Sus scrofa: one gene and its partners. The protein of the gene in region 4 interacts with the protein of the main gene of each other region in a pairwise test. Links are inferred from orthologs where the notes say so. Each region holds a gene or a part of one and is shown on either strand. Other genes may lie near its edges.

Region 1 (4,682 bases), on a different chromosome or scaffold from region 4:
AAAGCTGCAGATGCACAGCCACCACCACCTCCCCCAAGACCAAGGGACTGAGAAGTTCTGGGGTGGGGCCCAACAGCCCTGCTTAGACAAGCCTTCCAGGTGGCTCTGCTGCGCTTAAAACTGAGAAGCAGACTCGTCTCCTGCAGGAAGAGGCTGCTGCGGCAAGTGTAACTCAGGGTCAGACAGTCTACTCCTTTCTCACTCCCAGACTCCTCTCTGCCCCCACCCCCAGCCCGCTCCTAATCCTAAGAAGTATGAGGTTGCCCCAATGCTCCCCAACTCCAACCTACCCAGAAATAAAAATATACAAACAGAAATCTTTTCCTTTCATATTATTCTGGAGGAAATCTGGGGCAGAAGCATATACTTAAATACTTTAAGCAACTGTTAAGGCCATGTATGGAGGGCTGAGGGGCACCAGAGGAGACAAGGGGATCTGAAAATGCTCAAAAATACTAATGAGCCTGAGGTTCCCGGGGTGAGTACTGTCACTGACAACCCTGTCCCCAACTTCCCCTCTGCATGTTCCCAATTTTGGAGGTCGAAGGGGCCCAAGATCTACTTGTTGATTTGAGAGAGAGAGCACTTGCAAAGACACCTGAAAACAACCAAAGTGATAACGTGTAAAGAAACACGCTAGCACCGAAGGTTTAAAGATACCTAAAAACAACCAAAGTGAGGGCGTGTAAAGAAACAGACTAGTATCAAAAGTTTAAAAGAATTGGACAGTGTTCTTCTCCCCAACTGGTTTTTTGGATATTGATTATATGGGGATTATCTTGCTATTGTTTAATCAAGCCATGCTTATTTTAAGAGTTACTCAGTTTTCAATAGGTACTTTTACTTTCTAGTCAACTCGCTGTAAGAGGCTTTCCCGGTATCATTGAGGAAAAGGGTGATTGTAACAGGAACAAGTAAAAGTACCCCTAAGTGTGTACACCTTAGCTGCCACACTAAGGTGCACTTTTGAGTTGGATGCTCACAGGGCTGGAAGGCTTTCTAGGCTATCAGAAATCGCTCCAGATTTAGATGCCCACAAATCCTAGGAGGCGTGGCAAAATAAACATGGCTAGATTAAACAATAACACGATAATCCCCACATAATCAATATTCAAGAAACCAGTTGGAGAGAAGAACACTATCCAATTCTTTTAAACCTTTGATACTAGTCTATTTCTTTATACGTCATCACCTTGGTTGTTTTCAGGTGTCTTTGCAAGTTCTTCACATTTTTGTTAAATTCTAAAGGAAACATTATCAATACTTAGCATATTTTATATACCAAATCACATTCATAACAATATCAGTTAGCTACCTAAACCTACCTACCAGAAGGTAGATAGGAGATGAAAAGAAATCCTATTTTCTAAGTGATGGTAGAAAGTAAGGCTTGATCACAGTTAGGGACATCTATCATATTATCTCCAACAATTAATCATACCTTAATCTAGTGGATTAAGTCTAAGTGTCAAGTATCAGACAATCATTAACCAAGCTGTTCTCACTTTCCACATAAAAAGAAGAAACAGGTTTTCAGGACGTGATATTAAGTTATAGTTTTAACTTTAATGGCATTAGATTGGACTAACCAGGGCAAGTGATAGCATTTCTCTCCTTTTAAGGAAAAAGAACCAAATATTTACTATGCAAGTAACTGAGCCAGGATAACATGGGACCGAAGAGGCACTTATAGACATTTCTCTATTTCATCCTTGACACCATCAACACCACCTCTTGTTTAGAAAATAAAGACACGGAGGATCAGAGAGGTTAAAACACTTTCCCGAGATTCACACTAAGTGGCAGGGCCAAATGCAAACCCAAGCTGTTCTGACCAGAAATTCATTTTTCTCCCCAACAGCATATGTCTCTTAGTGGTGTACAACAGAAGAGATGAGGCAGATAAGACCTTCCTACTCCTTGGTTGTTTACTACTGAACAGACTTACGAACACTAGAACTATGCTACCTTGACTTTGTCTCCTGACAACTGATCACTCCATTCTCCAAATTCAACATTTTATGCACAGCTTATCTTGGCACTCAGCCATACTCCATCTGAAAACGTTATGCTAAAAATATTCCTATATTATTTCTGCAAATAATAGTGAAATGCCTTTTATACTTCTATACTCTTCATCAGTGTCACAGCCTCCGCGGTAGATTTGATGTCCTATTTATCTCTGCGTTCCCAGAGCTTAGCAGTATGTTATAGGACAGGTATTCAGTATCCGTTCATTTACAGATACACAATGAAAATGTGACCATAAAGTAACAGAACTTTTCTACCAAGGCTTGGATTTAGTGCCATCTATTTTTAACGATAGTTCCTTACAGATGTTTGGTTGTTGAATTTTATCAATGATCTTACAAAGAGACAGTAAAAACGAAAACAAACCAAAAAAACCCCTAAAATGAGTAGTAAGATTTGGTGCGCTCATATCTGGCTAATGTCAACGTCCTTCAATATTAGCAAGTTTTATCTTCCCGTTTCTTCTGTGCAGTCTTTTCTGTACTGTAGCTTTTACAACCAAGCTGTGCAGTCATAGGGTGAAATACTTTTTAGGTTACCCCTCTACAAGAAAAAGCTATCTGATAAAAAGGAACCCTCTTTACATTTAAGTGATCAAGCCAGAAACAGCCTCCAGGATAAGCAAGATCAGGCCCGCAGAGGCTGTGACTTTTGAAGTGATGCTGATTCCCCTATGGCCACAGGAGAGAGAGCTTTCTTCCAGAGTCTCCTGCCCGAAGCACCAACCTGTGAAGTACTCAACCGACCCCGTGAAATGCCATTCTAAAGCAACAGCTGCTTCTTAAACTGCAAGTGGGGTGGGGGAAGCGAGGCAGGGGCACCCGAGGAAGCAGCGCTCAGACACCTGTTTCTACCAGCACCGCGGTCCCGCGCGCCGCCCGGGGAGACCCACGGCTCCCGAGTCCCAACTCTGTCCCCGGGCGGGTCTGGGGAAGGCTCCGCCTCGGCCACAGCGGCCCCGACACGCCCCCGGCCGCGCCGTCCCCGCCGCCGCGCCCTCACCCCTGCCGCTCGCCGCACCTGCAAGTCCCGCGCGCTCGGGGGCCGCGGCCCCGGCGTCCTCGGCTCTTCCTCGCCCGCCTCGCCGCCACCGCCCTCCGCCATCTTTCACCGGCTCCCGACGCCGCCGCCGACGCGCCTCCCGCGACTTCCGGGGTCGTTGCCTGGCAACCGCGGGGCGGGGCGGGCGGGGCGGTCCCTGCGCGCCCCCGCCTCCCCCAAGGCCCGCGCGCCCCCGCTTCCGGCGCCCGCCCACCTGTCCTGACCCGCTTCTTTCCCAAAAGGAAGTGGCCTCAGAATTTTCTCGCGGAGTAACCTCTTCGTAAACCCAGGTTCCCCAGGTCCCACGCCTGAGGGTGCTCGGAGCCGCCCTGGAGGGCAGCACGGACTGGCGGGTTCTTTTAAACCCACGGTGAAAACGTCCTCTGGATGTTTCATCTGATGAAAGGCGCATCCTTACTTTTCCAGTCTTGGTCACATTCTCTCCTTTCCCTACCAAAGACTGGGTGGCACGGTCGCCCCCGAAGCGTGAATTGGGGTTGAGGAGGAAGAACACAGTAAACGCTCTTTGAGGTCAGGAGACTACTAAATTCTCTTTATTCATCTCAGTTTCATTCAAACTCCTGTCTTATCCCAGGCACTTTTATGCTCCCGGATGCAAAGGTAAAAAGAAGTAGTTCCGATATTTATAAAACTCACAGTCTAGTGGGGGAAAGAGAAATATAAACATAATAAAATGCCATTTGCAGTAGCGCTTTGCAGGGAATGTTATGAGTGGACTGTGGAGTGGGGAGGGGAGTATTCTGCTATGAGCCCCATGCTGGGTGCATTTTATGTGTAATCTCCTCTATCCCTCTGCCAGGTAACCGTATTATACCTGAGGAAACCAAGTTTCAAATAACAGTTTACTCTGTTGTAAGTGACGGTACCAGATACTAAACCTTGCATTTGTTGGTTGTCCCAATATTCTTTTTAGTACAACATTCTGCCTAGAAATCTCTGGCTCTTCTTTACGTCCCACGGAGCCAATGGTATTTTGGCTGACTCTGAAGGATAAGTATTCGTGGTAGACTTTGGACCAGAAGGGACCACAGGGAGAAGCATGTTTGAAATACCATGTTCGTGCTGATAAAGTCCTGCATGGCGAACCTTAGGAGAAGTGACAAAAGAGGCTTGGGGATTGGGGAATGTGGGTGCAGATCTAGACTCAAGATGCAGGCCTAGGAGTGGTGCTAAAGGGTCTTGCTTTAGTGAAGGATGAGGACTACGCCCTGGGGCAGTGATTGTCAAGGCTGATGCACACTAGAAAACCCCTTCCTCCACCCTCTCCCCATCTTAGGAACTCAGATTTAATTAATATGGGGTGACCCCTCAAGCGTCTTTTTTTTTTTTTTTTTTTTTTTTTTTTTTTGTCTTTTTGCATTTTCTAGGGCTGCTTCCATGGCATATGGAGGATACCAGGCTAGGGCTGTAATCGGAGCTGTAGCTGCCGGCTTATGCACAGCCGCAGCAACGAGGGATCCAAGCTGTGTCTGTGACCTACACCACAGCTCACAGCAACGCCAGATCCTTAACCCACTGAGCGAGGCCAGGGATGGAACCCAAAACCTCATGGTTCCTAGTCGGATTCGTTAACCACTGAGCCACGACGG
Region 2 (4,438 bases), on a different chromosome or scaffold from region 4:
ACCCAGGGCTGAAGTCGGGGGGATGGAGTGAGTCAGACGCCTCAAGTGCAGACACTCCACACGCACACTTCACACTCTACTCACCTGCTTCCGTAGGCGGCTGCTCCGATACTTGGCTCTCCTGGACAGAACCATGTTCTGGCTCGGGGCTCCCAGGAATTCCCTGTCAGGGATCCTATTTAGTTCAATGCAGACTGCCCACTGCCTTCCTCTTGCATGCTCAGCCCTGGCAGGAGACACATGAGGCCTCCACTCTGCCCTCTGCAGGCCCACCCCACCACTCCTGTCCAGGTTCCTGGAGGAAACCTTTCCTAGCTGGAACCATAAACCATGGGCTTTGGAGGGCAGGTTTTGATCACCCATCAGGTCACTGACACCCACATGCTCCCTTGAGGACTCCCCAGGAGGCTAGAGCCCCACCTCACCGTGAGCAGATACTCCACGGCTCGGTGGGGGTTGTTGTAGCTGGCTCTCAGGGCAGCCACGACCCGCTCCCGCTCATAGCCCATGGACGTGATCTCTGTCAGCATTGTCTCATACTCAGAGCCAGTCACTGTGGAAGGAGGAGCAAGGGCTGGGTCACCAAGGAGTGGGAAGGGCAGCTCCCGGGCCCTCCCACACCCACACAAGGCCCAGCTGATGGCTGGGGCACCCAGTCATCTCTGCTCTGGGGACCACCCACCCACCTAGCGTGGAGGCCGCGTCTTCCTCTCGCCCGCTGCTACCTGAAGAGGGAACAGAGCTGCAAATTCAAGAGAGAGAAATCGGACCCTGGCTTCTGGCGGCTTGCCCTCCCCGCAGGTGTGTGGAACCACGGACGTAGGCGCTGAAATGTGCTGGGAGGCCAGGGCCCAAGCTGAGGCTGCTGCTCCCTGCCTTACCCTGACACGGACTCCGGAGATGTCGTGGGGACCGATTCCTCCGATGGGCTCTTGTCCTCTCTGGCAGGAGATGGGGGGTGGGACATGCCTGAGGCAGGGGCCAATGGGAAGGATGTGGAAGACTCCGGGGCAGCAGTGGGTGAGGCCTCTGGGGGTACTGAGGTGCCTGGGCTAGTTTTGGCCTGTGAAACCCAGAAAAGGGAGCAGGCATCAGTATCCCTATCTAGCGCCACATCCCACCACAGCTCAGCCCCACCCTGTTCATGGTTAATCTCTCTTAGGCACACAGGCTCTTGGCCAGCTCCCAAGCTAATCCACCCACCCTCCCAACCAGCTACCTCACCTACCTTGGTCACCATGACGACCACAAAGTTCTTCTCATCAATTCGATAGTCCCTGATGGGGACATCGTCACTCAGGATCTTGCCAGCATAGATGAGTTTCTGTCCAGCCACGGGGAAGGCATCACGACCCTTCTCAGCTTCTATCTTCTCTTTTAGCACCTTCACCTGGAGAAAGGGGTACACAGTCATGGCAAACCCCAAGATTCTCTCTTCCCTTATAGTATAGGAGGAGAGGGGAGAAAACAAGCCCTGATGACTGAGAAGCTAAGCTTCATAATCAAGCATTCTAGGCTATCCCATCATTCAATGGAGTATTTACTGCACACTTCTATGTGCCAGGTGCAGTTTTAGGCACTGAGGACACAACAGAGAACAAAACTCAACAAACTCTGTTTTTGTAGAAATGACGCTTATTTGGGAGATGGAAGTCAGAAAATGTAAACACAATGTAATGAAAAACAGAAAAAAGGGGCGATAGGAGGGTTCCTCACTCCATGCTGCTGACAGTGGTTTTCAGTGGTAGAATCCTAAGTTTACAGTACTATTGTAAACATACATGTGTCACAAGTTTAAATCCTCATTGTAACTGGGTAAAAAAATTACCATTAGCCTCATTTTATGTCCAAGAAAAAAAGGCACAGATAGGTTGTTAACTAACTTGCCCAAAGGCAAACAGGCTGATGAGAAAATCTATTTCTCTCTCTATAAAAAGTGAACTTAAACATCTTCTTCATGAGATAAGTTGTGCGAATAATGCCAAATACGCATATTAGATTCGAAGTCTCTTCTCAGCTAAAAAGACAGCATAAGGTTTCGTCCATAGGCTCACTTGAGGCAAACCCCTACTGTTATTTGCTGTATGCGACTATGTCTACGTTCCTTAACTCCTAAATTTCCACATCTGTAAAACAAGAAGACTAAGTCCCCAAATGACAAGCCTACTTTGAAGATTTAGTAAGATAATACGAAAACGCTCAGTGACTGGTGAAGAACAAACACGGACCATTGAAACTCAGACCATTTATTATCTTTATCATCGTCGTTGCTGTCATCACCCGGCATCTCTTGGCCACTATTCGTAGATTCGGCCACCAACGTCCAGAGGAAACGCCTACAAAGCTGGGAACTAGGAGGCCCAGTCCCAGAGACAGCAGCACGACAGAAAATCTGAGCCTGCGGCTCCCGCGCCCCACGAGGGCGCTGACATTGGAGCCGGGGCCTGGCAGGCGCCCCGGGGGTGGGGCTTTGCCTGGAGATCGACACTAGAGCTCCACCCGAGCCACCAGGGCCTGGGTTGGGGACCATCGGGTAATCTGGAAAAGTAGGGCAGTTTGGGAGAATGGGCAGGGCCCGGCCCCGCGTCGTCTTCCCCGCGTCTCTCGTCGGGATCCCAGCCTCCCCCCGAACCCCTGGCACCCGTCGCTCCCGTTCCCAGGCTCAGGCTTGGTTCGCACCGTCTCATCAGGCTCCATGCGGATCTTGAAGGTCTGCTGTTGCAGCGTTTTGAGCGTGATGGTGACGGCCATGGTAGGACCCGAGCGACGCGGCGGCCCCGGGATCCTCACACAACATGCAACTCACGCCGCCGCCATCTTAGCGCCTAGCCGCGCCGCGCGCCGACCGCTTCCGGGGCAAACGGTGCGCGCGCCGACGACCAGGACACGTGACCTGCGCGCTGTGGGCCCCCCCCCCCCGCCGCCGCCATGGGCCTTCGTGAGCATGCGCACGAGAGCGGCCCTGAGTCAGGCGTACGCAGACCAACTTCTACTCAGTCGGCGTAGAGGGAGGTTTTCTCGCTTAACCATCACGTGGCTTCATGGGAGTGACGCCATCCCCGTTAGCGGTGACGTCATGAGGCCACAAAATGGCGCCGACGTCCAATTATCACGCCCATCAGTTTCCTTTTTTGTTGACGTTGAACAAAAATCTGCTTTGATACTTGTATCTCTACCGTAAAATCTTAGTTCATATTTTTTGCTCTTTCCAAATTAGTTTCATTCTAGTCTGGCCACCCTGACAGTACTCCTGTCTAACCCTGAAGGGACCTAGAAAGGATACTGAAAAGGTCACCAACAATTAAATGAAAATGCCAAACACGTTTGGCTGTGTAAACAGGCACACAGAGCCATTTTATGCCCTCATTTATTCTTTAGGAAGAGCCGGATTTTTGGAATTAATTTATACAGTTCTAGTTCCTGGGTCTCCCCCCTCTCTGCTGCTCCTTCCCTAACCACTATCTCCAACATGATCCGCAGTATGTAGAGTATGTAACTTCCAAGGCTTTCCTACACTGAATACAAAATTCTCTCCTTTCCCTGGATATGCTAATTGGGATGTTTCCCAGAAGGGTGGGGCTGGGCTGCAGGACACAGGAATGAAGCACAAAAGAGGCCTGTCCAAGTAACAAGGAAATGAAGCGCTGGTTGGCCAAAGGTGAAAAACGTGCTATGGCAGACTGGTTGGAGGTGATGGACTCCCCACCTCCTTCATATCCTGCTTCAGAACCTGATCTTTTCACCATTCCCATCCCAGTAGGACACAGTGCAGTCCCCTGCCACCTCACTCATTTCCCCAAATCTAACCAGGTCCTGCTGCTTGTCCCTTTACCACACACCCTGAACTAAGAAGCTTCCACACAAGAATAGGCCACCTCTTCCCTTCAAGAAGTTCAGATCCCAACTTGGCTACTGAACATCATGGGTAAGCTAGATACCACCTTCTGAAGATATTTTGACTAATGAAAGGTATTTATAGCTTTTAACACGGGCTGGTATTAAGAACAACGTGTTGAGGAGTGCCCTGGCAGCAAATTGAGCTAAGGATCCGGCACTGTCACTGCAGTGGCTTGGGTCACTGTTGTAGCACGGATTCGATCCCTGTCCCGGTGGAATCAGCATTAAAAAAAAAAAAAAAAAAGTGTTTATAAGAATTCCCGTTGTGGCTTAGGGGGTTAAAGACCCAACTGGTAACCATGAGGATGCAGGTTCAAAACCTGGCTTCACTCAGTGTGCTAAGGATCAGCGTTGCTGTGAGCCGCAGCATAGGTCAGATAGAGCTTGGATCTGGCATTGCTGTGGCTGTGATGTAGGCCCACAGCTGTAGCTCCAATTAGACCCCTAACCTGAGAACTTTCACATGCTGCACGTGCAGCCCTTAAAAAGTTAAAAAAAAAAAAAGGCAAATGTTTAAAACTTTTGCTTGAGAAGATGGACA
Region 3 (4,479 bases), on a different chromosome or scaffold from region 4:
AGCTTAGATGCAGGGAAACTTGAAAGAAGCTTGTGTAACGGTGTAGAAAGCATGAGGGGGCGGATGGAGGCAGGGAAGCAAAGGACTTGGGAAGGAAGCAACTAGCCAGAAACGACCTCAAGACCATTGCCTGGATGCTTCGAAAAACACTGGCCTGGGGAGGTATGGAAACTGAAGGAAAAGCTAACGACCTCACTTCCAAGCGCTAGTGAGGCGACACTGTCTGGTGGCCCGGCTTCCCGCTCCTGTCCCTCGGCGAGCCCCGCGGAGCTCCTCGGCAGCGCGTCCTTCTCCAACCCTCTACTCCTCCGAGTGCCTCGGCCTCCCCACGCCCGCCCCCAGCCTCCCCTCACCGCCTGAGGTCTCCTCCTCCTTCCCGGTGCGGCCGCGACTCTGCCGACTGCGAAGCGTGAGACAAGCGAATGGCGGGTCCCGCGCTCCCAGAATACCACGCGTTCCCAAAATGCCTCGCGCAGGGCCCGCCCTCTTCCTTTTCCCAGTGGTGAGCGCGGTCTCGTCCTCGCTTCCACCTCACCCCACCGGCTGGGAAACTCGGTCTGTGGTTCAAGAGTTCCGGCCCCGGAAGACTGATGACTGGACCCAGGTGCCGCCGGAAACACCGACCCTCGGGCCGGCAAGGGCAGAGAGGGACTCGCTTTTCCAAACACCTCACACCGGCGACGGGCTGGACGGCGAGGCGGGGATCGGGGGAGGCAGCGGTGGGGCCGAGGGCCAGGACCTCCCCTCACAATTTAACCTTCGGAACCCGGCAGTGCCAGGTAAAGGGACCCCTGAGCGGAGAGGGAGACAGGAGCAGAGCGGGTGCCGGCCCTCGGCCGTCCCTCCAAAGAGAGTCGAGGTGGGGCTGGGTCTCCCGGCCCCGAGGCTGGCGGAGGAGTAGGACCTGGCAGAGGCGGAGCTTGCCGGGGGCTCTGGGGAGCCCGCGTTCGTGGAACTCCCGGGCCTGGGCGGGGCTTCCGGGGAGCGGGGCGGGAAGGGCTGCGCGTCCGCGCCAGGCCTCGGAGGTCGGGGCGGCAACCCTGGGAGCTGACACTTTGAGCGGCCGGGACCAGCGGAGACAGGAGCCTGGGAGCCTGAGGGCTTGAGGGCCAGAGGAGGCGGGGGCGGGCCGGGGCGGGGCCCAGGGCGGACGGGGCGGGCCAAGGCCTGGAAGGGCCGGGGCGGGGCTTGGGGCGGCCCAGCTGCCGCCTCCCCTTCTCCCCACCGTGCTGGCAGTGGCGGTGGCGGCCCAGGAACCCGGGGACTAGCGGCCCCGCTCCCGCCCCAGACGAGGCCGAAGCTGCAGCCGGCGCCGGGCCGGGGCCATGGGAGCCCCGCGCCGCCCACGTCATGAGGACGGAGGGGGAGGCATCGGGGCCGCCGCTCGAGCCCGGTCAGTGCTCCCTGAGGGCTTAGCCCTCATCCAGGGGAACAGGGGGGCCCACCCTAGCAGCGGTCAGGGTCCGGCCGCGTGACCTTGGACCGACGGCCGCCATGTCCTAGGCTGTAGAGCTTTGAGTGAAGTCTGGCCAGGTGTACACCCCGCCTTGGCTCCCGCAGCGCCAACCGCGGTCTGCTGGGGTTTCCTGATACTCCCAGGGCTGGAACCCCAGGCAGCTCTGATGGCGGTCTTGGTGGGAGGGTCCTGGTTGAGAGGCTGGGGCGGCAGCTTCCCCAGAAGCGAAAAGTCCTGCTGAAGCTGCCGTGAGAGATCCTGTCCCCTCGGGGAACTGAGGCCTAGAAGGGCAGGGAACTGGCAGGGAGCATAGAGCAATGGGGGAGGCCCCCCCCCCCGGCCTCCCAGACTCAGTGTTTTGTCTTGCTAGAGTTCTTCACTCTAGTTCCTTATGTCCCAGGTGGCCTGTGTTCCCTTGCAGGCAGAAACCAAAACTCAGGTTGTGTGTGAACCTCGGTTTGCTTTGCTAAATTGGGGAGGGAGAGAGCAGTAATTCCTGCTCTGGTTAAGGCACAGGGTTGGTGAGAAAGGAAGTGCTGGTAAACTCTAAAGTGAGGTCCCAGCTCCTGGGAGAAGTCAAGAGCATGTGGGAGCCTGACCCTAAGGAATCAGCAGGATACTGACTGTGACTGCAGCAAGGAGTAGGGTCTGGAGTTACCCGGGGATTGGCCTCCCTAATCCTCTAATTATCTAATTCTGTGATCTTGGACCAGACACTTGCATGTTCTGAGCCTCACTCAGGGAAGTAATGACTCATATTTACAGTGAGCTTTCTATGGGCAGATACTCTGCTAAATTGTTCACATTCAGACTCTCATTAATCCTCATAACGACTTCCTGAAGTCAGTTACCATTGTTATTTGCACTTTGGGAAATGAGCAGACTGAGGTTGAGAGTGATTAAGTATTCAGGGCCTGTGAGCCACCTTCCTTCCTTGGCAACAGCTGCCAACTGAAGCCAGGCCAGCACCTTCCAGGCAGACCCTAGCTCTCAGCCTCTTGGCTCCACAGGCATCAATGTCTAGCAGCAGCTTTGAACTTGGAAGGCCTCCTCTACCCTTATCACCTCCCATAGGAGTACCTCTGAGTCCCTGTGGGCCATCTGGCCTGTGCCAAGACTGGGGATGGTCATGTAGGGATGTTTAGCTCTCAGGAGGTGGAGGGGAGGCAGGATCAAATGGTTCTAGAGATCAGGGTAAGAAGAGGAGGGGCAGAGTCCCCAAGAGCAGGGGTCCTGTGCTACACTGACAGTTGGCCATAGAGGATGCACAGACAGTGTCAAAGCTTGGCCAGAGATAGCCTAGCCAGGCAGTGCCAGAGCCCCAGCCACAGAGTGAGGAGGGAGCTGTGAACGGAGGGCCACAGGCCAGAAGTCAGGGGAAAGGCGAACATAGCGGTGACAAGTAGCCCAGGGCATCTCAGAGGATAAGGCCTTTTGGGGGAAAAAATGCCTTCCATGCACCATTCAAGCAGGTCTGTGTGCCTCCGGTGGTCTGAGGGCTAGGAGGAGGCAAATGCAATCCTCTGCCTGCCTGCCACCGAGGACTTCTCAGTTTGTGCAGTGGGGAAGGCAGACAGCACCTCGAATCCCACATGCTGAGGGCCTCAGAGAGGGAAAGACACCAGAGCATTTGGAGGTTCAGAGATGGTTCAAGACACCCTTGCAGATAAGGGATATGCAAATACAAGGGCTGGGGAGTAAACAGCTGTGTAGAGAAAAATAACAGGCAGTTGTAGCTACAGCCAGGGATTCTTGAAGAGGAAGGCATCCACAGTAAGGGGACAGTGCCCTGCTGAGACCTCTCCCTGCACTCCGTCAGTAGGGGGATTACTTTAGGACATGAACACCTACGGGGTAGGGCTTGGGTCTCAGCACTTGTAGCGTCCCCAGAGCCTGACACACAGTGGGTGCTTAATAAGCTCACTTCTTCCAGCAAATGTCTAGCAAGTTACTGCTAAGCATCAGACACTAGGCACTGGGAATAACAGAGAACAAGATTAGCAAGTTCTGGAATTCCTGTTGTGGCTCAGTGGTAAAGAGCCCAACTAGTATTCATGAGGATGCGGGTTCCAACCCTGACCTCGCTCAGTGGGTTAAGCTGTGAGCTGTGGTGTAGGTCGCAGATGTGGCTTGGATCCCACATTGCTGTGTCTGTGGCTTAGGCCAGCAGTTACAGCTCCAATTGGACCCATAGCCTGGGAACCTCCATATGCCACAGGTGCAGCCCTTAAAAAAAAAAAAAAAAAAGATTAGCAAGTTCTCTACCATTAGGAAGCTGACAGTCTAGTGGGCTGACAGAGTAGCTTTATTTCATTTTCATGTTTTTGTTGCTTTTGCTCAGTCCTGTGAAAGAAACAAGGAAGTACTGTGAAGGAGGCCCCATCTCCCCAAGGTGTAGTCAGAAAAGTCTCTCAGGAGGAGACTTGAGCTGGGTCCAGAATGACAAAAATGGGGCAGTACTGAGGGGAAAGAGAGCTGCATGGATAAAGGTCCTGGGGTGAGGGCCAAGGTGTGGCAGGGGGGTGGCCAGGCCCCGTAGGCCTTAGTAAGAAGTGCGAACTTTAAGAGCAATGGGAGACTGTGGACAGAAACAGGAAAATGGCTAGGGGACAGAAACTGAGGCAGAAGTCAGGCAGGACTGACCCCCCAGGGCTGAATCCAAGGCAGTGGGCAGAGGCAAATGTTGGAAAGCTTGGAGTGAAGGCCCCAGCTAGGTGGAGGGCAGGGTCACATCAGCACCTGCCAAGGGTTTCACACACATTCTTGTCCCGAGTGCTCACAGCGCCCTACAGGCTGGCATCTGTGAGTGTGTGTTTCACAGAAGCCAAGTGACTCAGCCAGCAAGTGGCCTGCACTTATCCATGCCATCCTGCCTTCAGTGGCCCCACAGGTGAGGTGGAGGGGGAGAGAGGCCAGTCCAGTGCAGCCGAGGGGCAGTCACAGGTCCCTGCCTCGGGGACTGCATGACAGCCCAACAGGGCATGGACCAGCTCAAGGCAAGGGTCTCCTGTGTGAGCCAAAGT
Region 4 (3,998 bases):
TAAATTTAGGACAAGGATGGTTAGTCCCTTGCTAGCATTTGCCCATGCATCATTCCATGCCTCAGCACTCCTTCTCTAGACCCACAACACAGCCTCAGAATCCTCAGTGTGGTATTAATGGAAGCCACTACTACTTTCTGAATTTTTTTTTTACAGCCTTTCTAATTTGTCAATGCTATTAAAAATCTGAAGTCAAAGATTTTTCAAGTACTGATTAAAATTTTTCAAAATCATAATCATTGTAAAAGAAATTTTTGTCTTCATTATATTGCCATGCTGGCAGTGACAAAATATATATTTTGAGCTAAAACAGAACTTATAGTAAAATCAGTCATTGGTCTAGGGAAGAAAGAACAATCAAGTAACTATAAAGGTACACTTCGCTTCATGTTGGTCAGAAATAAAGTCTTTGAGGAACTTTGATTCACTTTTATATAGCTTCTTCATTTCTTTTATTCATTCATTTCACGAGTATTTATTTATTTATTTTTTAGGACCACACCTGCGGCATATGGAGGTTCCCAGGCTATGGGTCCAATCAGAGCTGTAGCTGCAGGCCTTCACCATAGCCACAGCAATGCCAGATCCAAGCTTCATCTGCGACCTACCCTACAGCTCACGGCAACACCGGATCCTTAACCTACTGAGCAAGGCCAGGGAGCAAACCTGCATCCTCATGGATACTAGCCAGATTCATTCCCACTGAGCCATGACAGGAACTCCTCATGAGTATTTATTAATTACCATCCATAGACACATCAGGTCCTGTTTTTAATGATTGAGATTCATCAGAACAAAATAGACAAAACCTGCCCCTGTCTGGAACTTGAATGGATTTTTTTCTTAGCAGCCCAAAAACTTGTAAAAGTCCCTAGCTTTAACAGCAGAGAAATAGAAAGTCTCATGAATTTCCCTATGACAACATTGATAAGATCAGCCGTGATGTGGTGTGTACTGAGGTAGGAACCACAAAGTTAAGCCGTCTGTGCTGCTGCTTTCTCTAATTTTGGGATTGCTACTACTTTGCAGGAGTGTAGCCAGTATAAAATGGGAAAAGAAATGTAAAAACATGGTGAAAATATAAATTGTTATATATAATCAAAGTTTTTTTTTTTTTTTTTAAATCAGAAACCCTAATGATGAAAAATATAGATCTATCCGGATTGGAAACACAACTTTTTCTACTAGACTTTTGCCTGTCAGAGGAGCTGTTGAATGTTTATTTGAAATGGGCTTTGAAGAGGTATGTTCAAGGGTTTTTTCCTCCCCAGTTCATGTACAAAGCATTCATTATAGTGTTGACAGATAATTTCTAAATAAGGTAATATTTTTTAATGGATTCATTTTGGCAAACTGTGGAACTATTTGCCCGCTTACTGGATAGTTTAAAAGTTACATTAAATATACTTTAACTCACAGCAAAATATGACAGCCCTTCCTCAGGGAGAATTCTTACAATCTTAGCCCTTTAGAATACGGAGATCAGATATTTAAACCAAGGACTAAATTGTGATTCTCTTTAGACTTTTAGCAAAAACCTAGTTTGTGATCACATACGAATTACTAATGTGGTCCAACCCGTCGCCAGTAAGAAATGGAAAGAGAAATGAGAAACAGAAAAGTCGAATTTAGTTACCACACATAAGGGTTCTATTGTGTAAAAGGTGAGAAGAACCTTAGTGTTGTTTTGTTTGGTTTTTAGGTCAAAAGAAAATCTGGTGTTTCTGTCTTATGGGATCTTGTGGTATAGTTTCATTTTGTGACACAGTGATAGTAGTTGTCAAGGTAATGAGTTTTCTCTATGTGTATTTGCTTGGCCATTTCTAGTTCACAGAATATCGTAAAGCCCTAGAGACTCAGCCGTCAGTAACCGTAAGAACCAGTGAGGCCATAGCAGTTGTTAATGAGAGAGGCCAGGTTGCTCTGGGGTATGCATTCCTTCTGCTTCTCTGCATTGCTTCCCAGACGTGCTGATGAGTTAGACGTGGAGTATAAGGGCAAGGCAAGAATCTAGGATGACTTCTAGGTTTTGGTGTGAAGAACCAAGTGGATCTCCACTCATTGAGACTGAAAAATCTTGGAGAGTAGCATGTATCAGGGGAGAAAGAAAGCTTCCCTGTCTTTTGGATAATTATAACTGATATATTGTTAAGTATTCAGGAAGAATTGTCAAGTAAAGAGTTGGATATATGAGTCTGTAATTCAAAAGGAGAGGTCAGGGTGGAGGTAAGTTAGGGTATCCTCTACTTGTAGTTACTCAGATGTCTGAATATAAAGAATTTAAAACTATAGATGGGGAAAATTGAGACCATTGTTCATTCAAGGAAATGAAAATTTTTGAGAGTCAAATGACAGGAAAATTAAATAAATGACAACTGGAGACTATGCTTATTTCTCATTGCTGAAGTGGAATCAGATTTGTCTTTCATTCAGCAAATACTTAAGTTGCCAGGAAGGGTAACCACCCACTGTAGTTTTCCTGGGACAGTCCTGGTTTTAGCCGTGAAATTCCCACACTGCAGAAAACCCCTCAGTCCCATGCAGACTTGTAGGTTGGTCACACCAGAGGTAACAAGCCACATTGGGACTTGTAGTGGCATTTGGTGCAAACAGAGTCACAATTTTAGAAAAGATTTTCGTGTTTTGAGACTAATTTATACTTAGTTTCTGACTGGCCTTGGATTTCACACTTAAGGACCTGTATGAAGTGTTAGCCAACAGAGCTGAAACTGAACTCTCCCACCAGAAGGAAACTTGCTGGGCTTTGAGATGAAGGAAGATTCCAAGACCTATCCTGAATTTGTGTACACTTGACATTAAAATCCTGGATGCTTTTGGGCCCACTCATCCCTGAGGATGCATTCTTTTTTTACGAAAAATCTGAGGAGGAGAATTAGACTGAGATTCAGGTGGGTATGTGACCCATCAGGCTAGTTTAGTGGAGTGGTTCACCCTGGGAGCAGTACCCAACCCAGTGAGGATGGGGCATCTGAGGGAGGAAGTTTTGGTTGTCTTGGTGACCAGAAGATATTACCAGCATTTAGTTGAAAGGGGCCAGGTTGACTTGGAGCTGGTGATTAGAATTGTCGAAGCAAGAATGAGTTGAGAAACATAGATTTGTTAAATGCTAGAATCCTCATTGATTTCCTAAAATGTTATTGGGTCTCGTGTGTTAAGCCTTCAAGTTTTTCCTTTTATGAAAATACAGTGCTGTTGATTAAGCTTTTGGGTGCAGATATTTTGGCTGTAATCATGCATCCTGAAAATTGGAAGAACAGAGAGCAAGGCAGGGGCAGCATAGCCTCTCCAGGGCATGGACCAGGTCAGATCCACATGCCTGTCTCGCTCTTCTTTCTTCTCTGTCCACGATGTCAGCTACCTCCCTCTGCATTCCACCCAGAGAGAGATGAGAGGCATCTGTGTTTGGTTTCAAACCAGGAGTCTGGTTTCTCTTCCCAGGCCTCATCATAGATTGAGGTGGCTCCTTCTAATGCTGGAACATTCACCATGTTCCAATTTCTCCTAGTTATCGCATATGTAATCATCACAAAGGTAGAAATATTTTTTTTTTTGATCAACTCTTCCAACTGTTTGTACAGCTTGTGGATTTTGATCTCTCTTCAGACTCAAATGGAGTCAGTTATAGCTTAATGAGTAAGGTCATGCAGTTTGAATCGTTGCTGTGACAGTCATTCTGAAGCATCAGGCAGGTTATTTGACTTCTCTGAGCCTTTGTATTTTTACATGAAAAGTGGGGATAAACCTAATAGCTATCTTTCAGGACAGTTGTGAGAATATATATATATATATATAGAGAGAGAGAGTAATATATATATATATTATATATATATAATAACACAGTACCTAGAACCCATAAACACAATAAATGGTCGGGTAGTCTTTTTTTATAGCTATTTTGGGTAATATATAAGATTGCTGGCCTCACCCAGCTTTTTAAAAAAGATTCACAATAAATTGATTTTCAGGTCATTCTTGAA
Region 5 (4,749 bases), on a different chromosome or scaffold from region 4:
AAAGCAGCAGAACATGCCTTCAGCAAAATCCTTTATAAAAACACTCTGAGAGGAGCTCCCACAGTAGCGCAGTGGTTAACGACTCGGACTAGGAACCATGAGGTTGCGGGTTCGATCCCTGGCCTTGCTCAGTGGGTTAAGGATCTGGCATTGCCGTAACCTGTAGTGTAGGTCAGAGACGTGGCTCGGATCCTGCATTGCTGTGGCTCTGGCGTAGGCCAGCAGCTACAGTTCTGATTAGACCCCTAGCCTGGGAACCTCCATCTGCCACGGGAGCAGCCCTAGAAAAGGCAAAAAGAAAAAAAATAAATAAATAAAATAATCTGAGACAGCTGCTCTGGTTGAATGTTCTCACTACTAGACATTGTGCCACAACTCACTAAACCTTGCTCCCAACCATCTCAAGGCAACCACTGTAGCCATTCAAGGAAATTCTTGCAACACACTTTGCAAAACACTGCTCTAATCCAAACATTTCACTATGTTTTTAGCATCTTTTAAAAATATATGGTTATTTTCTATAATAGTTTTTGTTTTTATCATTATAGCTGGTTTACAGTGTTCTCTCAATTTTCTACTGCACAGCATGGTGACCCAGTGACACATACATGTATAGATTCTTTTTTCTCACATTATCATGCTCCATCATAAGTGACTACATATAGTTTCCAGCACTACACAGCAGGAATGGTTATTTTTCATAAAAGCGGAAAAGAAATTCCTTTACATATAGGTCAGAAAAATAAGGCTCCAAAGCAGTCAAGGGACTTGCCAAGTCATTAACTAAATAAGATAGGAACCAGAGCCTTGATTCCCAGCTTCATGCCATCGCTCTGGTCACTACTCTATGCTACCTCAACCAACTATCTTATCAAATTTCTCAAACAGGCAATTTTATTCAAAATTGTTCAAAAAGCTTTAGTCTCATATATTTGCACAACATACTATATGGCTCCAATTTTAACCTGCCAATAAATAAGCCAACTCTTTATAGAAGCCAGTTTATCCTCATTCCAATAACATTTCTCAGATTTCTCACCAATTGTCACACAGTCGAGTATCCTGGTCATCTAGAAATTCAGCCATCTTTAGCTGTTCCTGAAAACAACAAAGGAAGAAGTGTGTTCTTTCAATTTCATTTCTGCTTTAAGCATGACATGCAAAACACACACACACACAAAAGAAAAAGTGCAAAAAAAAAAATCACCAAAACCAGTACATTTTATTTAATACATAACACACTTTGGTTTTAGCTTTTTATTATTTTTTAATTCTCATTTTGAAATAATCTGACTTGCAAACCAGCATAAAGAACTCCCATATACCTCTCATCCAGTACATCATAAATAGTCACAGTAAAATTACCAAGTGCAAAAAACTCACTAATACTAGTAATTAATCTACAATTATTTAATTTCACAAATCAGGCCACCAATAGTACCCTTTTGCTGGTTCAGCAATCCAGAGTCACATATTGCACTGGTTGCTATTTCTCCTTAATCTTCTTTAATCTGGGATATTTCTTCAGTCTTTCTCTTTCATAACCTTGTTGTATGTACTGGCTAGTTATTTTGTAGACTATCTTCAAATTAGGTTCATATGATGTTTTCTCATGATTAATACATTTTTGTCAAAAATACCATAGAAGTGATGTTGTGCTCATCTCATTGCATTCAATCAGAAAGCAGGTGATGTCAACAGTCTTATTATTACAGATGATGCTGACTTTGATCACTTCATTGAAATAAGTTTCTACCAGGTTTCTCCACTGTAGTTTTTCCTTCTTTTAAACAAGATGTCAATGTTGAAAGCAAAGCCCTGGCAACTTTATTACCAGTACTTACTTTATATCATCCTTTTCTATGGCGCAAAAAAATTATCTTCTAAAAATACTGTCCTCTAACAGGGCTTTTTTTCTGGGGTTTTTTTTTTTTTTTTTTTTTTTTTTTTTTTTTTTTTTTGTCTTTTCTAGGCCGCACCCGCGGCATATGGAGGTTCCCAAGCTAGGGGTCCAATCAGAGATGTAGCCGCCGACCTACACCACAGCCATGGCAACGCGGGATCCGAGCCGCGTCTGCGACCCACCTTACACCTCACGGCAACGCAGGATCCTTAACCCACTGAGCGAGGCCAGGGATCAAACCCGTAACCTCATGGTTCCTAGTCGGATTCTTAACCACCGAGCCAAGACGGGAACTCCCTAACTGGGCGTTTTAACATTTCCAAACTAACACTTCTTCAAAACACGCCCTATAAGAGGTGAACGAATGCATGGAAGCCCTATGGCAAACTAAGTTCCCTTCAAAATTAGAAGGAGCCCCTCTAAGTGGTCGGCCAGGATTTCCCTGTGCCCAAAGGGGTGGAGACACCACACAGGGTCCACACCCTGGAGGTGGCGGTTTCCAACTGCCCCCTCCCCCCAGCAGGGTGGAGGAGGTCCGAAAAGAGTGGGGAAGGCACCGGCTTCGCAAATATTAGCTGCCATTCATAGTGTGTTTACTGATGATTAAATGCTTTACGTGGATAATCTTCTCATCCAGACCACAACCCTAAAAGGTGAAAGTCACCATCCCACTGCTGAGACCGCGAAAGAGGAAGTCCAGGGAGACAGCTGCCGCACAGTTGGTAAGAGTGGGGACTCGAACCCGAGTCTGTCGGCCTAGAGCCCCCACCAGGCTACCCGCGACCCCTCACGCTGGCAGCTCGGGGCCCAGATCTGCCCGGGGCGAGGTGCCCATGGCGGGGCTCCAGAAAACCGTCACCTCCCAGCCCCGGGGCCACGGCCGGGAAGGGGCGGTGACGCCGGGGGCTGCTGAGGCTCCGGATCCCTGAGGAGAAAGTACGGCCTCCCTCACTAGCCAGGCGAGACGCCGCTTCGCGGGCACCTTTCTCCTTACGAGAAACCCCTGCTGACCCCCGGCCCAGAAGCCCCTAGCCCACACACCGCCCTTCTCCCGAACTGGAGACCTATAGGAACTCGCGGGCCGCAGCTACCCTCACCTGGGACGAGACGAAAGACGCCAACACGAACCGCCTGCCAGGGACACTGAAGCCTCCCTTCTCAGTCAGCCCCCAAGCTGAACAACGGCCCCCGGAGCCGCCTCACCACTTCCGACCGTCGCGGAGGAGTGCGCCCATTGGCCAGGGGCGACTCTGGTTGTCTGCCATTGGATAGTAGTGTTGTCGCTCCCAGAGCCCCGCCTTCTGCGCGTCGATTGGCTCCTCAGCCCCACAGAGGCGTGTCCCTGGAAGTCCCAACCCATGCGCCTCTGGAAGGAGGCAGAGACTTAAGCTGGGAACTACCTCTGGGCTCAGCAAGTACGCATGACACAGGCGGTTGGTATTTGCATGAATAATACTATATAGACATTACTAATATGCCTAATATATTACGATAAGTAATGGCATTTGTCCTCTTGTCATGAGCTGTTAATAATTATTAGTCATACTTGTTGCAGTTATAATGTCCTCCTCACTGCTCATGCAAGATATCTCTGCGAGGCTCTGCCCATGTTTGAGACCTTTGCTTCTTGCGGTGGTAGAGTGAGCGGCCGAGATGCATGGGTTGGTTGGTTTGTTTTGGGTTTTTTTTGTTTTGGTTCGGTTTAGTTTTTTTTGTTGTTTTTGCTTTTTAGGGCCGCATCCTTGGCATGTGGAGGTTCCCAGGCTAGGGGTCTAATCAGAGCTGCAGCCGCAGTCCCACGCCACAGCCACGCCAGATCTCAGCCGCCTCTGCGACCTACAACAGAGCCCAGGGCAATGCCGGATCCTTAACCTACTGAGCGAGGCCACGGATGGAACCCGCATCTTCATGGATCCTAGTTGGGTTCACTAGCCAATGAGCCACGAAGGGAACTCCCTGAGATGCATGTTTGAGTTACAATCTTTCTACTTGCTGTCTGTATGGATCCTCTGAACTCTTCCCTCATGAATTAAAAAAAAAAAAAAAAATAGAATAAATATAATGGAGAAAGTATTATTTACAATACAGCAATTTCGTTTTTTCTTTTTAACAATACGGCAACTTGGGTGTTTCCCTTGTGGCTCAGCAGTAAAGAATGGAACTAGTATCCACGAGGAGGAAGGTTCCATCCCTGGCTTTGATCAGTGGGTTAAGGATCTTGCGTTGCAGCCAGCATTGGCATAGGTCACAGACAAAACTCCTAGCCCGCCTTGCTGTGGCTGTGGCAGTTGTGGGATAGGCCAGCAGCTGCAACTCCAATTCGACCCCCTAGCCTGGGAACTTCCACATACGCCCCCCAAAAGCAAAAACAAACCCAGCAATTTTTTTAAATTTTAAGACTGTTTTTTTTTTTGTTTTTGTTTTTTTTGTCTTTTTAGCTATTTCTTGGGCCACTCCCGCGCCATATGGAGGTTCCCAGGCTAGGGGTCGAATCGGAGCTGTAGCCACCGGCCTACGCCAGAGCCACAGCAACGCGGGATCCAAGCCGCGTCTGCAACCTACACCACAGCTCATGGCAACGCCGGATCGTTAACCCACTGAGCAAGGGCAGGGACCGAACCCGCAACCTCATGGTTCCTAGTCGGATTCGTTAACCACTGCGCCACGATGGGAACTCCTAAATTTTAAGACTGTTTTATTTAACCTAATGTATCTGAAGCATTGTCATTTCAATATATATTCAGTATAAAAATTGAGATATTTTACATTCAAAAACCCAGCAATTTAAAGTCATTATTTTATTTTTTGCAGATTATAACTGTAAGATATTAATGACCTAGCGCTAA
Region 6 (3,998 bases), on a different chromosome or scaffold from region 4:
CTTATAAAAGCAAACATTTCACTTTAAAAAACATGTGAAAGTGCTCAAGTCACTTTATAAATGTACTATTTTTCATTTAAATGGCTGGAAGTGTGCTTGTTAAAGTCAAAAAAATTTTAAAGCAAGATACACATTTAGGGAGTTCCCGTCGTGGCTCAGTGGTTAACGAATCCGACTAGGAACCATGAGGTTGCGGGTTCGATCCCTGCCCTTGCTCAGTGGGTTAACGATCCGGCGTTGCTGTGAGCTGTGGTGTAGGTTGCAGACGCGGCTCGGATCCCGCGCTGCTGTGGCTCTGGCGTAGGCCGGTGGCTACAACTCCGATTCGACCCCTAGCCTGGGAACCTCCATATGCCGTGGGAGCGGCCCAAGAAATCTCAAAAAAGACAAAAAAAAAAAAAAAAAAAAAGATACACATTTAATATTTAGTATTAATCAAACATACATTTAAAAACATACAAATAGGATTGGTCTGCATACATATTTCCCATGGGTATTTTAAACAAAAGTTGAAGCATTTAATACTAATAATAACTCAGTTTAATAGTTTTCTTATGAATAAAATATTTCATTAAATGTACCTACGATAGGCAAAATTTAAAGCATATACAAAACTTTATCTAAAAACTTCTATATTTCAGAGTTCCTGTTGTGGCTCAGTGGGTTAAGGATACAGCATTGCTGCAAGCTGTGGCATAGGCAACTTCCATATACCACAGGTGGACCTGTATAAGGAAAAAAACATAAAAAAATAAAAACTTCCAACTCCACAAATTTTAAGAGGACAGAAAGCTGCTGCTGAGGATTGTTAACTCAAAGATATCTCTATATACTTGAATTGATATGGTTTCAGACTTTAGAAACATAAAAACCATTTCCTTTGACATAATGAAGAAAGTGATTAACTTTAAAAGCTTTTAAAATTTCAGAAATGGAGACTATAAAGGAAACTATTTCAAATTCCTAACACTCCACAGACTGTTTTTTAATAAACAGCAAATATAAATCACAGATGATGAAGGCCTAGTTTACATTTGCCAAGATTTTTCAACGCCAATGGTTCTCAACCTAGGGGTACATGATAATCACCTAGGGAACTTGGGGGGTGGGGTGGGGGGTAGGGGAGTCCTATACTCCAATACAGTTACATGAAAAGATCTCAGGACAGGGTCAAGATTTTTTCTTTTAATTTTAAAGTTTCCAAAGTCATCCTAAATGTTCAGCTAGGATTGAGATCCACTGATTTTCTTATTCTCTTCAGAAACAAGTTAGAAAATGATTTAATAAAAGACCAGGGGGAGATCTGTAACAGAAAGAATAAGAATACTTTTCCCACAATCTCTCCCTGCTTATATTAAACAATTTCAGGCCATTTTATAACTGTCATTTTGAACACGACTATTATTCAAAATCTCTGTGACTTAACCAATGTAAGTATTTCAAATGTATTAACACTTCTCAATCACTTTCAAGATTTTCATTACACTGAAGAAAAGGCTTTAAAAGAGAGAGCATTCAAAACTTTTGTATTCATCTCCTTAATCAACACATGTGGATACAAAGTAAACCTGCACTTCTTTCTAGCCAGTGAACAGTGGAAATGAAGCTGTTTCCATTACATTATGAAGTATTAATTTACTGTAAGGAAACAAACTGTCCAAAAATTTGGAGATGTGGTTTGCCTACTTTTCCAGTGTAAGGCAGCATGCACAAAACAAACGTGTCCAAATCACAAATAACTGATTAAGCTGTTTCAATCCACACTGATTAGTCCTTTTCAATACAATTACACACTCACCTGTGCAGCAAGGTCAGGGTTCTGGCTAAGTGACTGCATCATGCTTCTCATATAGGGGGCGGACAACATGTTTTGCATAAGTTGTGGGTTTTCAGTTATTTGTTGCAACAAGCTCTGCATTCCTGGTGTGTTGAACATACTAGCTGAAAGTTTGGTTTAAAAAAAAAAAAGAACATTTTTATCAAGAAAAAGACATATAAACAAAAGTGAAAGTTTTAAAATACATATCTACTGTACATAATTTTAGCAACTGCAGATAAATACACATACCAATTACTTATCAATTGAACTAAGAAAAAATTTTATGGCTAAGATCTCCAAAACAACATGCCTACTAACATATATCAATAAAGGAAGGTTTATGGATTTGATACATTCTGGTTGAATATACAGGAAAATCCTGTTTTATGGAAAGGCTAGGTTCAAAAGTCAATTTAAGGCAAAAACTAGATATGGTAAAAATACTAAAAATACTCATTAAAATACTGAAAAATCTCAAAAATTGAAGACGTCTGAGCCAACTTTTCCCCCAGGATGACTTAATTAGAATCATATTCAGGAGTCAATACGCTCACTTAAGAAAGAAGGAAGCCTTCTTGTCCAGGCCTCCAATCTATTTTCGTTTTCACTGAGTCCTGACACTCAATGAATTCAACCCCAAATTAAGGGGGCTTCTTCATACTTCAGTTTCCCCATCTGTAAAATGATGTAATAAGCAGTATTTAGTTGAAAGAGTGGTTATGACAATTAAATTAATGTGTAGATGGCTGTTAACTGTCACTCTCTCTTTTTGTTGAGAGCTACAGCTAAATTTATGTGAACTCAACAAGTCTTTGAAAATTAAATTTGTTCAACATACAAGGTTTTCACTTGCTGACTAGATACAATCAAACTCAAATATATGCTCAAACTCATTATGTGAACTTTTCACTTCTTAGCTTTTTCATTTCCCTTTTGTTCTTATTCTATCTAATTTAACAGATTTAAAAGATTTGACTCTCCCTACTTTCTAATTTATTATGATTCTGCTGTTTTTCTATAACAATTTTTGTTTTTCCTATTTTCTCATATTATTTCAATTTAGGTTTCTTCTACATCCTAGAGTCTAAGGATACACTTAGACAGATAGTGATGAAGATAGCCTGTAGGGCAAATATAGCCTATGACCTGTTTTTGCACAGCCAAAGAGCTAAACATGGTTTTTACATTTTTAAATGGTTAAAGAAAAACATTTTTGGTGAAATGTTAAAACTATAAGAAATTCAAAAGTCAATGTCCATAAACAACATTTTATTGCAACACAGTCGTGCACCCTCATTTATTGTTATTGATGGCTAATTCTGCACTACCAAATCAGAGTTGAGTAGTTTCAACAGAGGTTCCATGTGGCACTACCATAATGCTCTATACTGCTATTCAGAGTACCACAAACGAGGGAGAACTGGACTCTGCTGTGCTTTTAAGGCACAACAGAGTATGGATTATTTTATCATTGAAATGGCAAAACACCATATTTACTATGCAATGACACTAAAGGAATATGATATACTTCAACACTGCTAGACAGAGCACTCATCACAGTACTCCCTACTAACAGGAAAGCAAATCGGAAAAATACAAAATTTAAAATACAATATCTCATCATAGCTAAATTTCTTTACAAAAATAAAAAATGAAGGAGTTCCCACTATGGCTCAGCAGAAACGAACACGACCAGTATCCATGAGAACATGGGATCGATCAATCCCTGGCCTCACTCAGTGGGTCAAGAATCCGGTGTTGCCATGAAGGTCACAGAGGTGGCTCAAATCTCGAGTTGCTGTGGCTGTGGCGTAGGCCAGTACCTGCAGCTCTGATCTGACCCCTAACATAGGATATGCTGCGGGTGTGGCCTTAAAAAAAAAAGGCTGCAAAGTTAGGCTCTCAAATGGCTTGTTAGCCAAGCAAAGAAAGCAATGTACCAATGGCGATTAACTAGGATGGTTATTTACATCATGACTACAGCAGCCAAATAAATGTGTCCAGAGAAAATAAACCTGTTTAAGACTATTCTCCTGACAAGAAGTTTCTCAAGAGTTAAGGACATTGGACTCAACATCAATAATCAACTAAAAAACAATGCAAATTATTTTGGGTAGTATTTCTTGCTTCTTGATAAATTGACAAATTTTACTGGTTCTGCTCAGTTCTTATTTGAGAG
Region 7 (3,998 bases), on a different chromosome or scaffold from region 4:
ATTTGATTCCTGGTTGGGGAACTTCCATATGTTTCAGGTGTGGCCATAAAAAACACCCAAAAAAGAAACATGACAAACCTTTACCTAAACTGACGGGGAAAAAAATCTGAAGGTTCAAATGACTAAAACAAAATATAAATGTGGGGGAGTTCCCACTGTGGCTCAGTAGTAATGAATCCGACTAGTATCCATGAGGATGCAGGTTCAATCCCTGGCCTCGCTTAGTGGGTTAAGGATCTGGCGTTGCCATGAGCCATGGTGGAGGTCACAGATGTGGCTCGGATCTAGCATTGCTGTGGTTGTGATGTAGGACCGCAGCTGCAGATCCAATTTGACCCCAGCTTGGGAACTTTCACATGCCGCGGGTGCGGCCCTAAAAAGCAAAAATAAAAGTAAAAATAAATGTGGGACCACCACTAATTTTTATGAGATAAAAATTTTTACAAGGGAATACTGAGAACAATGGTATGTCAGTAAGTTAGATAATGTACATGAAACAAATTCCTAGAAAGACAAAACCCACTCCAAATGACTTAAGAAAAAAACAGTAAATCTGAATAGCCTTATAAAAAGAAACTGAATTGGTAATCACAAAACATCCCCAAAAGAAAAGCCAAGGCCAGATAACTTCACCGGTGAATTCTACCAACTATTTAAAGAAAAATTAAATACCAATTCTTCATAAACTTTTCCAAAAAATAGGTGAGGGAGGAACTCATTCTCTAAGGCCAGTTATTACTCTAAGGTATCACAAGAAAATCACAAACCAGTATTATGAATATAGATGCAGAAATCCTCAACAGACCAATTCTTGCAACATATAAAAATTATTATACAATATGATCAGAAGGATTCATCCTAGGAAAGCAATGTTGGTCCAACATACAAAAATTTATCAATATAATAAAGCATATTAACAGAAAAAAGGACAGAACCACATGATCATTTCAATAAACACAGAATTTGACAAAATCCCACACCCTTTTGTGATAAAAACATCCAACATGCTAGGAATAGAAGGAACTTCCTCAACCTGATAAAAGGAATCTAACTAATGATACCCACAGGTAACATTATACTAAAGGTGAAAGACTGTTTTATTTTCCCCTAAGATCTGGAACAAGATGAGGACGTTGGCTCTCACCACTTCTATTCAACAATACACAGGAGGATCTAGATAAGACAATTAGGCAAATAAATATACAATAAAGGGCATCCAAATTAAAAAAGAATTAAAACTATGTCTACCTACAAATGATACCTTAAACATAAAAATCCTAAGAATATACATAAAAATTATCAGAATTAATAAATATGTTCAGGAATGTTGCAAGACACAAAATTAAATTGTATTTCTATATACAACTAGCAATGAGCAATGCAAAAATAAACAATTCCAACTTTAACAGTGTTATAAGAATAAAAATACTTAGAAATAAATTTAGCAAAAGAAGTACGAATTGGAGTTCCTGCTATGGCACAATGGGATTGATAGTGACTCTACAGTGTCAGGACACAGGTTCGATCCCTGGCCTGATACAGTGGGTTAAGGATCTTGCACTGCTGCAGTTGCAGCATAGGTCACAACCATGGTTCAGATCTGACCCTTGGCCAGGGAACTATATGTGCTGTGGATGGCCAAAAGGGGGGTTGGGGGAGGAAGAAGTACAAATCAAAGAGTAAAGAAATTTCTGGGGAGTTCCTGTCATAGCTCAGCAGTTAACAAACCCAACTAGCATCCATGAGGATGCGGGTTCAATCCCTGGCCTTGCTCAGTGGGTTAAGGATCCAGTGCTGCCGTGAGCTGTGGTATAGGCCGCAGACGTGGCCCACATCTTGCATTGCTGTGGCTGAGGTGTAGGTTGGCAGCTATAGCTCCGATTAGACCCCTAGCCTGGGAACCTCCATATGCCGTGGGTATGGCCCTAAAAAGACAAAAAAAAAGAAAAATAAGAAATGTCTGAAAGAAACTGCCAACATGGTAATGCTCCCCAAATTGATCTACAGAAAAATTCACACAGTATCTATCAAATTTCAATCGGTTTTCTTTTTGTAGAAATTGGACAAGCTAAGCCTAAAACTGATACAAAAAAATGCAAGGGGCCTAGACAGCCAAAACAATCTTGAGAAAGAGCGAATATGGAGCACTCACACGTCCTGATTTGAAAACTTACTAAAGCCAAACTAATCAAGAAAATAAAGGAATCACGTAAGGATAAACATAGAGATCAATGAAAAAGCCCAAAAATAAACCTTCACATTTATGGTCAACATATTATTCAATTAGGATGACAAGATCATTTAATGGGGTATGAGCAGTAATTTCAATAAATGGTGCCGGGACAACAGGATATACACAGGAAAAGACATGCAAGTTAGATTCCTACACCTTACACCATAAACAAAAAGTTAACTCAAAATGGATCACAGACCTAAATGTAGTAAGAGCTATAAAATTCTTTGGGGGAAAACACAGGATTAAAACTTTTGACCTTAGGTTAGGCAATGTTCTCTTCTATGACTAAAAGCAAAAGCAAGAACAAAAAAAACCCTCTCCAACAGAGAAATCAAGAACTGATCATCCAACCTCACAAAAAGGTTGATATAGACAACTGAGGCAAATGTTAACTGTCACTTCTATTATTTGAGGGGAAAAAAAAAAAAGCCCCAGCACAATATATAAGTATCTTTTAAGAAACAGTTATAAACCTTGAATACTTGATATGTTTATGTCATAAACAAAGACAAATTATAGTACAGGTGACTTTTCTAATTATTAGAATGCACTTTTCCTGATTTCCATCTCAAAGTACTTTGTAAGATAAGACAGGGCAAGCACTACAGTTCCCTATTTACAAATGTTAACAATTGGGCCCAGAGAAAACGAAGACTAGTTAACAGTATCATAAAAACTAGGTTACTGCGGTGCCACAACCTGTACAGGTTGATCTGCTAAGGATGAAAAGAGAATCATGATACCAGGTTCTGATGTTTACTGTATACACATTTTATACAATTCATTTACATATCTATTTTACATTTCAGAGACAACAGTAAGATAAAATTTGAAATATAAATTAAAAAATGGAAAATCTTGAATTAGGCATATACTTTAAGATCAATTTTTTCTTCTTGGGTATTAAAACATCAATGAAATTTTTAGTTTCTTAGTATGTTTATAACTAGGTTCATGCTAGACTGATATTCCCTGCTAGTCCCTTGGCTTCACAAAGAACATAATGGAGAGCAGAGCTGAGAAGAGACTGTCTCTACTACAGTCCCCAGGCAGGGCTCCATGTGGCTCTGCCCATAAGAGCCATCTCCCATGATGGAAATGCCCTCTACCTGGGCTACCCCAATGCAGGAACTACTAGCACCATGCGACTCTTAAGCATTTGAAATGCGGCTAGTGGGACTAAGGAGCTGAATTTTTAAGTTTTACTTAAACTCACCCTTTCTATAGCTTCTTTTTCCTGAGGCGTTACTTGAATGTAGTTCATGTGACCACTTCCAGCTTCTGCAATTCCTCCGCTGCCACCTCCACCCCCTCCTCCTTGACTACCAGCTTCTTGAACTGGTTCATTTAACATCTGAATAAAATGTTCCTGGTGTTGGCTAATTTGCTGTAGTGATTTCAAGGACAAAGAGAAACAATATATTGATATAAATGAAGTATCTTCAGGAAAGTAAGAATTCTAATACAAACATGAGAGAAAGCTGTAACTTTGCAACCGTACTACTTAAGAATGATTCTGGATTATTCAGTCATTAAAAAGATATGACTCCTTGTACATTATTAAAGAAAGTTCTGAGTGAAGTAAACAAGAATGAAAAGAAATCAAATTCTCTTTCATCAACTCCCCACCCTCCATCATTGTTAAAAAATTATTTGACAGCTATATAAGGAAAAATATATGTATATACATATATTATTTTCCAAGCTAATAGGAAATAGAATGCTATACAAAACTCAAAAATATTTCATGGCCTAAGCATTA

What was found.
Region 1: the proteins of NGLY1 (region 4) and UBXN2B interact in binary tests that used the Homo sapiens proteins (3 or more experiments, as listed by UniProt). The two-hybrid records come from large-scale screens. The link is inferred for Sus scrofa from reciprocal best matches to the Homo sapiens genes NGLY1 and UBXN2B.
Region 2: the proteins of NGLY1 (region 4) and RAD23A interact in binary tests that used the Homo sapiens proteins (3 or more experiments, as listed by UniProt). The two-hybrid records come from large-scale screens. The link is inferred for Sus scrofa from reciprocal best matches to the Homo sapiens genes NGLY1 and RAD23A.
Region 3: the proteins of NGLY1 (region 4) and GUCD1 interact in binary tests that used the Homo sapiens proteins (3 or more experiments, as listed by UniProt). The two-hybrid records come from large-scale screens. The link is inferred for Sus scrofa from reciprocal best matches to the Homo sapiens genes NGLY1 and GUCD1.
Region 5: the proteins of NGLY1 (region 4) and TRAFD1 interact in binary tests that used the Homo sapiens proteins (3 or more experiments, as listed by UniProt). The two-hybrid records come from large-scale screens. The link is inferred for Sus scrofa from reciprocal best matches to the Homo sapiens genes NGLY1 and TRAFD1.
Region 6: the proteins of NGLY1 (region 4) and UBQLN1 interact in binary tests that used the Homo sapiens proteins (3 or more experiments, as listed by UniProt). The two-hybrid records come from large-scale screens. The link is inferred for Sus scrofa from reciprocal best matches to the Homo sapiens genes NGLY1 and UBQLN1.
Region 7: the proteins of NGLY1 (region 4) and RAD23B interact in binary tests that used the Homo sapiens proteins (3 or more experiments, as listed by UniProt). The two-hybrid records come from large-scale screens. The link is inferred for Sus scrofa from reciprocal best matches to the Homo sapiens genes NGLY1 and RAD23B.

The regions. Positions count from the first base shown.
Region 1 is NC_010446.5:74,434,464-74,439,145, forward strand, and holds the start of UBXN2B (UBX domain-containing protein 2B), read right to left. Parts: upstream 3,188-4,682; 5' UTR 3,136-3,187; coding exon 3,052-3,135; intron 1-3,051. UniProt on the Homo sapiens protein: Adapter protein required for Golgi and endoplasmic reticulum biogenesis. Involved in Golgi and endoplasmic reticulum maintenance during interphase and in their reassembly at the end of mitosis.
Region 2 is NC_010444.4:66,093,492-66,097,929, forward strand, and holds the start of RAD23A (UV excision repair protein RAD23 homolog A), read right to left. Parts: upstream 2,987-4,438; 5' UTR 2,752-2,986; coding exon 2,680-2,751; intron 1,391-2,679; coding exon 1,229-1,390; intron 1,064-1,228; coding exon 882-1,063; intron 743-881; coding exon 687-742; intron 554-686; coding exon 426-553; intron 164-425; coding exon 85-163; intron 1-84. UniProt on the Homo sapiens protein: Multiubiquitin chain receptor involved in modulation of proteasomal degradation. Binds to 'Lys-48'-linked polyubiquitin chains in a length-dependent manner and with a lower affinity to 'Lys-63'-linked polyubiquitin chains.
Region 3 is NC_010456.5:49,581,759-49,586,237, reverse strand, and holds the start of GUCD1 (protein GUCD1), read left to right. Parts: upstream 1-1,237; 5' UTR 1,238-1,350; coding exon 1,351-1,393; intron 1,394-1,430; exon of another isoform or gene 1,431-4,346; intron 4,347-4,479.
Region 4 is NC_010455.5:12,667,694-12,671,691, reverse strand, and holds part of NGLY1 (peptide-N(4)-(N-acetyl-beta-glucosaminyl)asparagine amidase), read left to right. Parts: intron 1-1,128; coding exon 1,129-1,243; intron 1,244-3,998. UniProt on the Homo sapiens protein: Specifically deglycosylates the denatured form of N-linked glycoproteins in the cytoplasm and assists their proteasome-mediated degradation. Cleaves the beta-aspartyl-glucosamine (GlcNAc) of the glycan and the amide side chain of Asn, converting Asn to Asp.
Region 5 is NC_010456.5:39,576,636-39,581,384, forward strand, and holds the start of TRAFD1 (TRAF-type zinc finger domain-containing protein 1), read right to left. Parts: upstream 3,147-4,749; 5' UTR 3,001-3,146; intron 1,099-3,000; 5' UTR 1,087-1,098; coding exon 1,040-1,086; intron 1-1,039. UniProt on the Homo sapiens protein: Negative feedback regulator that controls excessive innate immune responses. Regulates both Toll-like receptor 4 (TLR4) and DDX58/RIG1-like helicases (RLH) pathways.
Region 6 is NC_010452.4:31,306,711-31,310,708, reverse strand, and holds part of UBQLN1 (ubiquilin-1), read right to left. Parts: intron 1,942-3,998; coding exon 1,799-1,941; intron 1-1,798. UniProt on the Homo sapiens protein: Plays an important role in the regulation of different protein degradation mechanisms and pathways including ubiquitin-proteasome system (UPS), autophagy and endoplasmic reticulum-associated protein degradation (ERAD) pathway.
Region 7 is NC_010443.5:248,485,710-248,489,707, reverse strand, and holds part of RAD23B (UV excision repair protein RAD23 homolog B), read right to left. Parts: intron 3,624-3,998; coding exon 3,453-3,623; intron 1-3,452. UniProt on the Homo sapiens protein: Multiubiquitin chain receptor involved in modulation of proteasomal degradation. Binds to polyubiquitin chains.